2 linked regions of the Drosophila melanogaster genome follow. The protein of the gene in region 1 interacts with the protein of each later gene in a pairwise test. Each region holds a gene or a part of one and is shown on either strand. Other genes may lie near its edges.

Evidence for each region. The genes of interacting proteins can lie anywhere in the genome.
Region 2: the proteins of CG10559 (region 1) and Fis1 interact in a two-hybrid assay, tested with the Drosophila melanogaster proteins (one large-scale study listed by BioGRID).

Annotation. Positions count from the first base shown.
Region 1 is NT_033777.3:25,312,766-25,318,818, forward strand, and holds CG10559 (uncharacterized protein), read right to left. Parts: upstream 3,352-6,053; 5' UTR 3,340-3,351; coding exon 3,150-3,339; intron 3,094-3,149; coding exon 2,603-3,093; intron 2,536-2,602; coding exon 2,163-2,535; intron 2,098-2,162; coding exon 1,904-2,097; 3' UTR 1,729-1,903; downstream 1-1,728. Other genes in the region: CG10553 (uncharacterized protein), read right to left, coding at 3,856-4,040, 4,100-4,466, 4,528-5,012, 5,102-5,309; CG10560 (uncharacterized protein), read right to left, coding at 5,862-6,046.
Region 2 is NT_033778.4:5,601,922-5,606,801, reverse strand, and holds Fis1 (Fission, mitochondrial 1), read left to right. Parts: upstream 1-1,967; 5' UTR 1,968-2,047; coding exon 2,048-2,092; exon of another isoform or gene 2,093-2,151; coding exon 2,152-2,219; exon of another isoform or gene 2,220-2,285; coding exon 2,286-2,334; intron 2,335-2,390; coding exon 2,391-2,558; intron 2,559-2,789; coding exon 2,790-2,902; coding exon of another isoform or gene 2,903-2,906; exon of another isoform or gene 2,907-3,007; intron 3,008-3,040; coding exon 3,041-3,062; 3' UTR 3,063-3,215; downstream 3,216-4,880. UniProt on the Drosophila melanogaster protein: Involved in the fragmentation of the mitochondrial network and its perinuclear clustering. Functions downstream of Pink1 and upstream of Drp1 to regulate mitochondrial fission.

The DNA of each region.
Region 1 (6,053 bases):
TTGTTCGACAACATCAAGCATAGGTGGCGCCACTCTTCCGTTTTTGCCAAAGGCGCGGAATATTTGAATAATAAAATCCGTTCTGCTTTTGGCCCAGCCCATTCAATAAGGAACGTCTCAAGATTTGTGTATTTTTAGAGAATTATATCAAATGTGCCGACAAATTGAGTATCTTGAAATTGAGTCTAATGCGTCGGCGGAAAATTATCATAACGGACACTAATTGGTACAGTAAAATAAAAAAATGAAATAACCTTAAGTGCAATAACTTTTGAATGATTTCCCATGAAGTTATCTCTGCAAAAGTCATTATTACCCCAATATGTGGCACTTCTTTTATTCCACACTTGGAAAAGTCAGTAAGCATATGACTCAAGCTAATACTTAGAAGTGCTAATGCCACTCTCAAGTGTTTTCTTCGATACTTGAGAAGAGTTGCTGCACTACCTGATATTTTTATATTTTTTTTAAGTGTATAAGACTAGAAAACTTGTAATACTAATAATTCCGTGGGAAATGCATCATTGTGAAGATAAAACTTTATCGAAGTACATAGTTGGAGAAACGTGATTTGACGATTTGTGGTCATTCCATTACGGGTAATTACCGAACTTTGGTGGGGCTTTTATTGATTAGGCAATTATCAGAATTATCGCAAATTAATGAGCAAAAATCGTAAATCAGGTCACATGCCACCGAATGAAACACTTGTTATAAGTTTGGAGTACATTACGAAACACAATTCGGGGAATCCTACCTAATCGAACTGAAATGATAGTTTTGATTTTTGAACAATTTTCAATGCACTTTCTTAGCTTATAAGCTAATTTCACTCTTAGTCGCTCTTTCCACCACAAGAAAAGTTTGAATACTAGATGTTAGTCCCATCTGAACTATGTTTTTATAGCACTATTGGGGGTTGGTCAAAACTGGCGGGTCGGATCCCTAGATTCGGTGAATGGCCCAATGCGAAAACACATACAGCGGTGGCAAACCTTTTTCCTTAATTGGTAAACGGAGCGCACTGATAGATCGACTGCAATCCGGCCAACTGTCGAGTGGGAAATACGAGTGGTTGTGCTCGGGAACAGCGGTATTGCCCCGATTTGGGTATGGGCCAAGAAATTCCTTATCGCATGCATTCGATTGAAGTTTTTTTTTTTGTAATTCAGTTCGCCAAAACCGGCAAAAGAGTGGCAATTGGCGTTGGCGAGAGTGGGTGCGCGATAGCGTGCCCGAGCGAGAGGTGTGTGATATATGATATAGAGACGCAAACACCGTCAATTGTTTGATTGATAACGAAAACAGTTTCTTGTTCCCGCTCCTGATTCGACTTCCATATCGGGATCGGGCACCCGAGTTCCTCTTTGCGCTCGCCATTCGCTCTAATTATTTCGTGATTCCTCATTAATTGGTGTTTTTGGGCGTGACATGTGATGGGTAGATAGACAGTTCACCATCGGTTTCCGCACGAGCACCACGCACTCAATAAACAATTATTTGAATATTATTAATCCTACAAAATGCTGGTCTATATGGGTACCAAACGGCATTTTGATTATCTTTGATTGTGCTTTAATGGGGCAGTTATGTTTTGTTTTATTATTAGGCCTGGCTAGTACAAAGCGGCTAGAAGTTAAATATATTTTCACATACTCATCATTTAAAAACAAAAGTGTGCTTATGAGATTATGTTTACCATCCGTCTAATGAGAAACTTCTATACTTCACTGAATAATCATTGCTCAGTTACAAGCATATTTTATTCTTAAAATTCGTGCATTAGTATTTTATTGAAAGCAGTACATTTTATATGTCATGGTATTACAAATTTTCTTTCCCAGAGAACGTTAGGAATCACTTTAGCAATAGTATTCTTTATATATATATAATGTATAGCGAACTAGCACTGGAAGGCCCCTCGATTGTTCAACCATTTGAGAATGGCGCTAACGTGCTTCTTATATCGGGCATTGGAGTACATAGCCAACTTTAGACCATCGCCATTATCCGTCTCGGTGACGAAATCGGTCAGATTTGCATCTTCAGTCCGATCGAGCAGCACTGGTGGGCAGAGAATAAAAGCAATGTGATACCCTACGATTGGAAAAGAAATCAGAACTTGGTTATCTACAGCTTTGCAGAGCGAGGTTTCCACTTACCAACTCGTCCATATTTCAATAGCTGAGTATGGAGGAACCCCAACGTGGGGGTTTTTGCTTCGGGGTAGTTCAGCATTCTCAAGTGCTCGACCAGGTGATCGTGGTAGTACTTGATGAAGTAATCGAACTGACTCAATTGGATTTCGAATTTCGTCGAGCCCAGGAGGAAATAGATCAGATCATATGCCACGCTCGTGACCTTGGGCAGTTGGAGATCCACGAAATATGTCTCGATCGGTTCGGGCGACTCGTCCTCGTACTTAAACATGATGTTGCTGGTCCAGCAATCTCCATGATTCAGAGCATTGAAGTCCTGCGGATCGGGCGTGTTCATAGCATACATAAGGTCGACGATTTTAGGTTGCATCTTGTGCTGTACAAATAGATTATTTTGTGATGAACCGTGCAACCAATTGGTGCATATAGCTAAAGAAACATACAACCGCCGCACTGTACTCCTCGTAACCCTCGTAGAGTGGCAGGCACTTGAGGAAATACTTGCCCAAGGTTTCAGCCACCTGTTCGATGCTCTCCTTCATGGTATCGGCGTACGTGGGTTGCAAGTAGTTCTGGGGGTACGGACCCTTGAGATGGATCCTGGTGGCCGATACCGCATGCCACTGGGCCATCTTCTTTAGAACACACTTGGTGTGAACCATGTCTAGGCCCTCCAGGCGATCGACGTTCCTGAAACCCAAAGGACCCAGATCCTGCAGAAGTACGTAATCATCGGGCGCGTCGATTTCATAAGCCTTGGCCCCAAACTTGACCTCCACGCCCACATCCTTGTACATCTGTTCCAGCTCGGGAATCACCTGAATGAACACATCCCTCTCCACAGCAAACATGTTGTTCTTCCTCAGAATCTCGCGATACATCTCGAAATCATAGGGAGTCTTCAGCATATAGCTCACATTTTCGATTGTGTGATCTGATGATGGAAATTTCTGCTTGACTTTCCATTGTTCACCTGTGACTCACACTCACCCTGCAGTTCGACTTCAAGCTTGAGGCGCAGCATAATTGTGGAGTAGTTTTCTCCCGGCTTGAGCCCGGCTTCCGGCTTGAAACTTTTGATTCCGGCATAATTGCCGCCGTAACGTTTACTTAGCAATTCTTCGAATAGATTTGCTCTCAGCCAGGTGGGCATAGGCGCTGTTCCTGTCTCAGCCGTCATTCTAAGCAAACTAAGAGTTTATTTGCCGGCTGGTCCCGTACAAACATGTGAGCAAAACTTTTTTTCTCTGTATCTTTGTTTGCTACCAAAACAAATGCCAATACGAAAGCTCCAAAAGCTTGTCGGAAAACAAAGAGAGTGCTGGATATGGAGAGTTCTCAAAACAACTTGTTTTCAAAGTCTCGAGTGATACATACATATAGACCAAAACAAACGTGGGGGGATGCATTTATACCCATATAGAAGCTTGTCTGTCATATAAGTGTAAGTATTTAAAGACAATAAAAATAATTGTATGACCATAAAAAAAAATGCTTATAACTATACTTATAGTTATATTTACCTATATGTAAACTCCGGAACAAGTTTTTTATTAACCACAATGTTTGTTAAACACTAGTTAGGTCTTTATTAGATATTACACAATATGCTACTTCTACTATACTGTATATATAAACCTTGAGTGTAATTTTTTCGTTATACGCCATACGATTTAATATTGTGCATTCTAAGTATCTATTCCATAGCTCCGCGATGCTGAAGCCATGGCAATAGAACCTCCATATGTTTGCGAAATCTGGGATTAATGTATAGCGAGTTCTTAAAGCTACAGTCGTCATCACCAAGAACCTTATCAAAATCGGCTCCGTCCACGGGATCCAGGAGGACATATGCCAATATAGTTGCGGTGCAGATGAACGCTGAAATGTTTTTTTTTATAAGATCTGAACTAATGATTAAGTAACGATTGAAAACTTACACCATCCACTGTATTTGTTGAGAGCGTCGTTAATTCTTCTTAAAGTGGGAAGAGTTTTCGAATATCCAAGCAATTTCAGATGCTTTACCAATTCGGAGTGGTAAAACCATATGAAGTAATCAAACTTTGATGTTTTTATGTCCAAGCTTGTAGAGGACAAAAGAAAGTAGTATAGATCCTGGGTCACTGATCCCCACTTAGGGACTTGCAGATCGACAAAGTAGGTATCCTGTATCTCGCCTTTCGTATTGTACTGGGACATAATGTTGTTGGCCCAACCATCGCCATGGTTTAACGCAATAAATTCATCAGGACTCGGATTGTTGAGGCTCTCCACAATTTCGAATGTCTTGCCGGAGACAATGCGCTGTAATTAATGATAAGATAGAAGACTTGAAGATACGAATATCAAAAGATAAATTACCCACCAGATCATTTAGATAAGTTTCGTAACCCTTGCACAGATGGACGTTATCCAGAAAAACTTTTATGCTCCGATTAATAAAGGCATCTACGATTTCCTCGTTCCTTAAAAAACCCTTTGTGTACTTCTCCTGATAAGGACCCTTTGTTTCTACGCGAACGGCAGAGGCCGCATGCCATTGGGCAAATTTCTTGAGAACACATTCGGTGTGAGCCTGGTCCATGCCTTCGAGGCGATCTATGTTCCCGAATCCACGTGGCCGAAGATCCTCCAGCAGGACGTAGTAGTCGCTGGCCTCTATGTCGTAGAGTTCAGCTCCAAATTTGACCTCCAATCCCACATCGCGATACAGTTGCTCCAGCTCGGGCACTACTTCCACATACATTCCTCGCTCCACATCGAAGATATCTGTCTTCTCGATTACTTTACGATACTGCTCTGACTGATGGGGAGTTTTAAGCATAAATGCCTTGGTTGTTTGAGTGTTATCTGCAAGGTTTACAATAATTGAAAGATAATTTCAGTTCAAATACGCTGATACCCTAATTCATTAGTCCTATAGAATGAATTTAACGAACCTTCTTTCTCAACATCCAGTTCAATTCTAAGCATTACGGTGGCATAGTTTTCGCCAGCAGCGACTCCTGCATTTGCCCTCATGGATTTCGTTGCTTTGTAATCCTTGACAATCCTTTTAAGCAGCTCCTCAAAGACTGTTGGCTTAACCCAATCCGGAATGGTGACCTGTTTTTGGCTAACATCCTCATCCTTTGTCTGGGGATGCATCTTGTAATAAGCTGTTTCAGTTCAGCGCACTTACTGCAAGCTTAGAGCACTCAGCGAATGTCTTAAATACTCTAGGGAGAAATAAATCTACATGTGAGCGATAAGCATTACCTCTTACCTAACAATCAGTCAACTGTTTTATATTAATTTAGTTTGTGAGAAGTGACTGTGCTCGAAAGGTGCGTCCGGAAATTTTAAAACAATCCCTCACCCCACAGAGTAGATTATCATAGTGACATCGCAGTTTCTGCGATATTGGCTCAATATAATATATCTTAATCCAAAGTAACTCTAAAGTGTTTAGATGATGTATTTGGGAAGATAACAGGCGCATTTCCAGCATACAATTTTCTATTATTCTATTTGGAAAACAAACGTATGGACAGGAAAAAATCTTTCGCCTTTCCATTCTGAAAATTAGGGTGGCCCTTTTCTCATATCACCTTATAATTACAATCCGATATTCAACATCAATATTTTGTATCGTTTAATTTATTTCTAAGTAAAAATGATATCTGCAAATAGACTAATTTTAAGAGATCATTTGATATTTTACTCCAAGGCACCACGATGCTGCAGCCAAGGTAAGACAACTTTCATATGCCTGCGGTATCTGGGATTGGTGTAGATGGAATTCGTAAAGTTTGAATGCTCGTTCGAAATGATCTTATCGAAATCAGCATCATCTGTGGGGTCCAGCAGAACGACTCCCATGACGGATATAGAGCAAATGAAGGCTACAAT
Region 2 (4,880 bases), on another chromosome or scaffold:
TACGCTGTGGTATTCGGAGGGTGAAGCTTCACCCTTCAAGCGGCGTTGCGACTACTCCATGGACAGCTACTCGAGGCTCGGCTGATAAGGGAAAAAGTAATAATAAATAAACGGATATATGAGTCGGCAATAGTTTTTCCAATTGCCGCGATAATAATCGACGTGAACAACAATGGTCTTTGTCCTGGTCATGCTCCTGCTGCTTGGGTGCCCACATAAAGAACAATCGCGAGCACGCGCCCAACGAAAATTACAGGATCATTTATGGCGAACGGGGCAACCGCCTGGTAGCAGTCTCTTGGTAGCACCCGCTGCAAAAACAACCCCGTGCTGACACAGCGTGTGTGTAAACACGTCGCAACAATTAGTTGCCCTTAACGAATCGACGGCGAACCGTCGTCTTCCGGTCAGGGTCCCGGAATGACATTAAGCTCCGATTAGTCACTTTCAAGTTGGTTAGGAGCCAAGCAGCTGCCTGCCATCCGCAACTCTCGCTCTTATTGTTGGTCCCCATATCTGTATTTGTCGCACAACTTTGTTGTGATTACGGCGATAAAGCGGCTCAAGTAAATCACAATAATACGACGGTCTAGTCTGGCCGACTCGGTTCGAAAGAAAGTGTGAATAGAGCCGGGCTCAACAATCAACAACAATAGATTCGCCGGACCGGACCATCAATGACAAATGTCTCTAGGATTATGAGTGGGCATGTGCATAAAAGTCAAAAGCAATAGAAATAAAAATTGTGTTCACGTCATGGGACATGTCAACAAAAACTGCCGAGAAGCAATTGCGCGACACTTTCTTGGGTGTAAATTAAGATACTTTATACTGGCCCTTGGTGAGGACCAAGCTGGTGGCCAGCTTGGGTTTTTGTGTATCACTCGATTGTATTTTGCTCTTTGCATGCGTCAGCTATATATTGAACCGCTAGCATATTCATTGATTTTCGAACAGTAATTCTGCAATATCATTGCCTGTTCAACTTCGTGGGACTAGCACAACCCATCTCTTGCCTCCCCGCACCGTCCCGCGAAGAAATGCCGTCACGTACGCGAGCCCCATCGTTCAACAAATAAAGAATGAACCGGATCCTCATCGTAATTATACTGATGCGTTAGCAAAATTGCTGTCAAATTATAGGAGGCCAGCTCTAAAATCGAGCGATCTTTTGAAGGTAGGTAGGAAATACGAAATTCAGTGGCCATTAAAGTTAATGATGGGTATTTATTTTCAAAAAAGCTTTTCATTCTAAACTCTTTTAGGGGTATATTAATAAGAGATTCCGACCAGCAGTGTCTTCATTGCATTTATCTTCATATTTTATAAAGCGCACATCGAGAACATGATAAATATTATTTCATAACAACTATTTTTATAAACAAACTTTTTTAAGAAACTCTGAATTGATGGAACCGAGATACATAAAAAACGGACTTACACCTTATCTATTCACAAAATACAGGAATTTGAATACTAAATTACACACATTACTCGAAGAGTAAAATGTTAAAGTAGATTCGTTGAAAAGTCTGGATCAGGTTCAATTGAAATGAATTAAAAAGAAATCAACAATTCGTTGTTATACCCGTTAAATGAATAAAACAGGTAACACAAAACTTTTCCTAACACTTTATTGAGGATCAATAACCGAGTCGGTATTGAGGAGCCAAAGAAGTTAACATTTTTTTGTAAATGCATTTTTCTCTGATCACAATTAATAATTATAACATCAAAAATTTTATAAAATCAAACTAAAGTAGTTAAAATCAAATACTTCCGTGAATTCGCTAAAATTTTTGAAACTCCAAAGCTGAATTTTATTTGGCTTAATTAAGAACACATGCTATTAACGGAGTACCCCTTATTAAATAGTCTCAGTGGCAATCGAATATAAGAAGGAACACTAAAAATGTGAAGGAAGTCGTTCTCTGAGAATTGTATATAAACGGTACGACTAATCCTATATTTTTAGAATGAACGGCTACTCTTGGCGTTAAATTCTCTGTATATAATTTTTGTATTTGCTAACAACATTTGCCAAACAATGGAGGATCTTTTAAACGAAGTTGTACCACAAGAAGATTTAGAAGTAAAAAATATTATTTTAGTTCTGATTGTTATAAAATAAATATTTTGCATTTGCTCCAGAGATTCGAAAAAAAGTATCATCACGAACTTGAGTTGGATGGTGAAGTTACCACAGACACAAAGTTTGAGTACGCATTCCTAAATCTAAAAACATTAAAATATCTCAATTCTTCTCAATTCTAATGACACAATAGGTACGCATTCTGTCTGGTCCGAAGTCGGTACACAAATGACGTTAGAAAGGTGACTCACTTTTAAAGCTGTAAAGATGTAAAAATATTATTTTATTTATAATCCAGGGAATTATGATTTTGGAGGAACTGGCTCGTACGCATCCAGATGGAAGGCGTGACTATATATATTATCTTGCGTTTGGTAATGCTCGTATCAAGGAGTATACGTCTGGCTTAAAATACTGCCGAGCTTTTCTTGACATCGAGTCAAATGATCAAGTTCGCTCCCTAGAGGTTAGTAAGGTCACTAAGGAAAGCAGCAATTTCTATATAATCTCCAATAGATTCAAATAATTTTTTGATCCAGAAAATTTTTATGACAACCAAAATCCCATGATCACAAAAGATGTGTCGTGTTAAATGTACATATATAATAATGAAAAACATATTCATGTGATCCTCACTAATGTACATACACTAAAATTCAATGTACGAATAATTACTAAATAACTTTACATATTTCAGGAATATATTAAAAAAGAAATCGATAAGGAAGTGGCAAAGGGTATGGTGGTTGCAGGCGGAGCAGCTTTAGTACTTGGCGGAATATTAGGACTTGGCATTGCTATGGCTAGAAAGTAATATTTTATACCAACACGTTTTTAACCGACAATGTTCTTTTAAAAACAAGCAGTTGAAAATTAAATATTTATGATTTAAATTAAATCTACATTGACTTAATTATTAATGCTATGTGTACATTGTTTATTTTTTAGTAAACAAAAACGGGAGAAATAGTAACGTCACCACTATTTAAGGAAAATAAAACATCGAAAGGTGCACATCAAGATGTTATGAAGTTTAATACTTGAAATATGTTAATTTACTACATCAACATTCTAATTAATCTTTATGTACGGTTAAATCAATAAATTATCCAATTGTTGCTTGTAGATCGTGTGTGTTAATTACATATGTTAAGGTATAGTGCTATGCCGACTCCGCTGAATTAAACTCCAACAATGCTTAAATCATCGGACTTCTGTTGTTTTTAGTCCATACAAAGAAGAACTTCGAAGGCGTAGTCTACCGAATCATCGCCCCGGCTGGGTGCAAAATAATATGATCTCCCTGGGTCCAGAAGACTGACCTCCAGTAATCCAAACTACTCTCTACTCCTTTCTAGTGAAATTGTATTTCGGATATTTTTTTTTAGACTCAGGATAGGTAGGATTAGCTAAGTGTTCCCATCTAAAATAACTATTTCTTCATGTCGCATATTTTTGTGAGTACGTACGGCTTTATCAAAATCGTAACACAAGGAACAGCAGATAGCCTTGAATAAAGGTTATGGGTGGAGCGCAGTTTTATACTGAATTTAATTCGGAGACTAGCTATATTTCAATAGTGGTAATACTTTGGACGTTGATAGGGGATATCAAGAAAGCACGCATTTCAATCCGGCTCTATCTCGTCAGCGAGTGTCGTGGTGTTCTTTTGAGGTTACAGCATTTGGGTGCTCATTCATATCTATGTGAATTTAAATGATAGCTATGGAAAATGATAGATAGGGAGTTTCTCTCAATGCACAACCCACAATGTCATTGGGGGGTGATAGTTGCTCACCCTGCCATGGTCCACGCGATTCCAAATTAATTATGCATTTGGCCGCTTTTATCCAATTGGGGTACGGAAGTTCTTGGATCAGCATGTAGTTTAAATTGGTGTTTCTACTTAAACATAATTTGATTTTATTACTGATCTATTGATTAATATTGATATTTTTTCATTCTATACCTAACCGTTCTAATTCCTGTAATAATTCTACACTTGTTCGTCTTCCGTTCGATATCATTTTCATTTATTATTTACTACATATGATACTCGAAAACATTAGGTAATTTAAAAGTAAGACTTTCTTGGCTCCATTGCATAAATATTTATAAAAACATTTAAATTTAGTTTATTTCACTTCAATAGACTTACGCAATGATTAGGTTTTAAATTTGAAAACAAACAAAAGCAAAATGAGCATACATATGTGGACATTTCGAGCATACGTTTGGTTATATATTGAACTGCCAGACAGTTAATAAATTGGTTGGTCATTAAAATCCACTAATGAAAGAGATTCACCTTATCTTATTCGGCTTACTTATTCGTTCGTGAGCAGTAAACTGTAAATCTTCTTTTTAACCAAGCTCTCTATCTCTAAACTATCCCAAACCTTTTGACTTCAATATTTGATTTGGTTGGTTTATATGAGCTCATTTTGCGTAAAGTTTGGGATGAGACATATTTTTAATACAAATCAACTAAAAGTGTAAATCAAAATCACTTTTCATCCAAGCCATATGGCCAGGAACTTAACCCGGATTTCTATCCGAGCCCCGCTCAGTATAGTTATTAGAGGCCCACAATTTTTTTTAGTGTTAGTTAAGTTTTAATTTTATTTCAAGTAATGGTTTTGTTAATCTCCCTATGTAGACGATATAATAAAAAAAGCCTTTTTAAATCTTCCAGAAATAGGATAGGCCAAGCGAAGATCCATAAATTTGGGTTTGCAAAGGAGAAAAGAAGGGTCCGCAATGACTTATGGAATTTTCCCGTTGGACG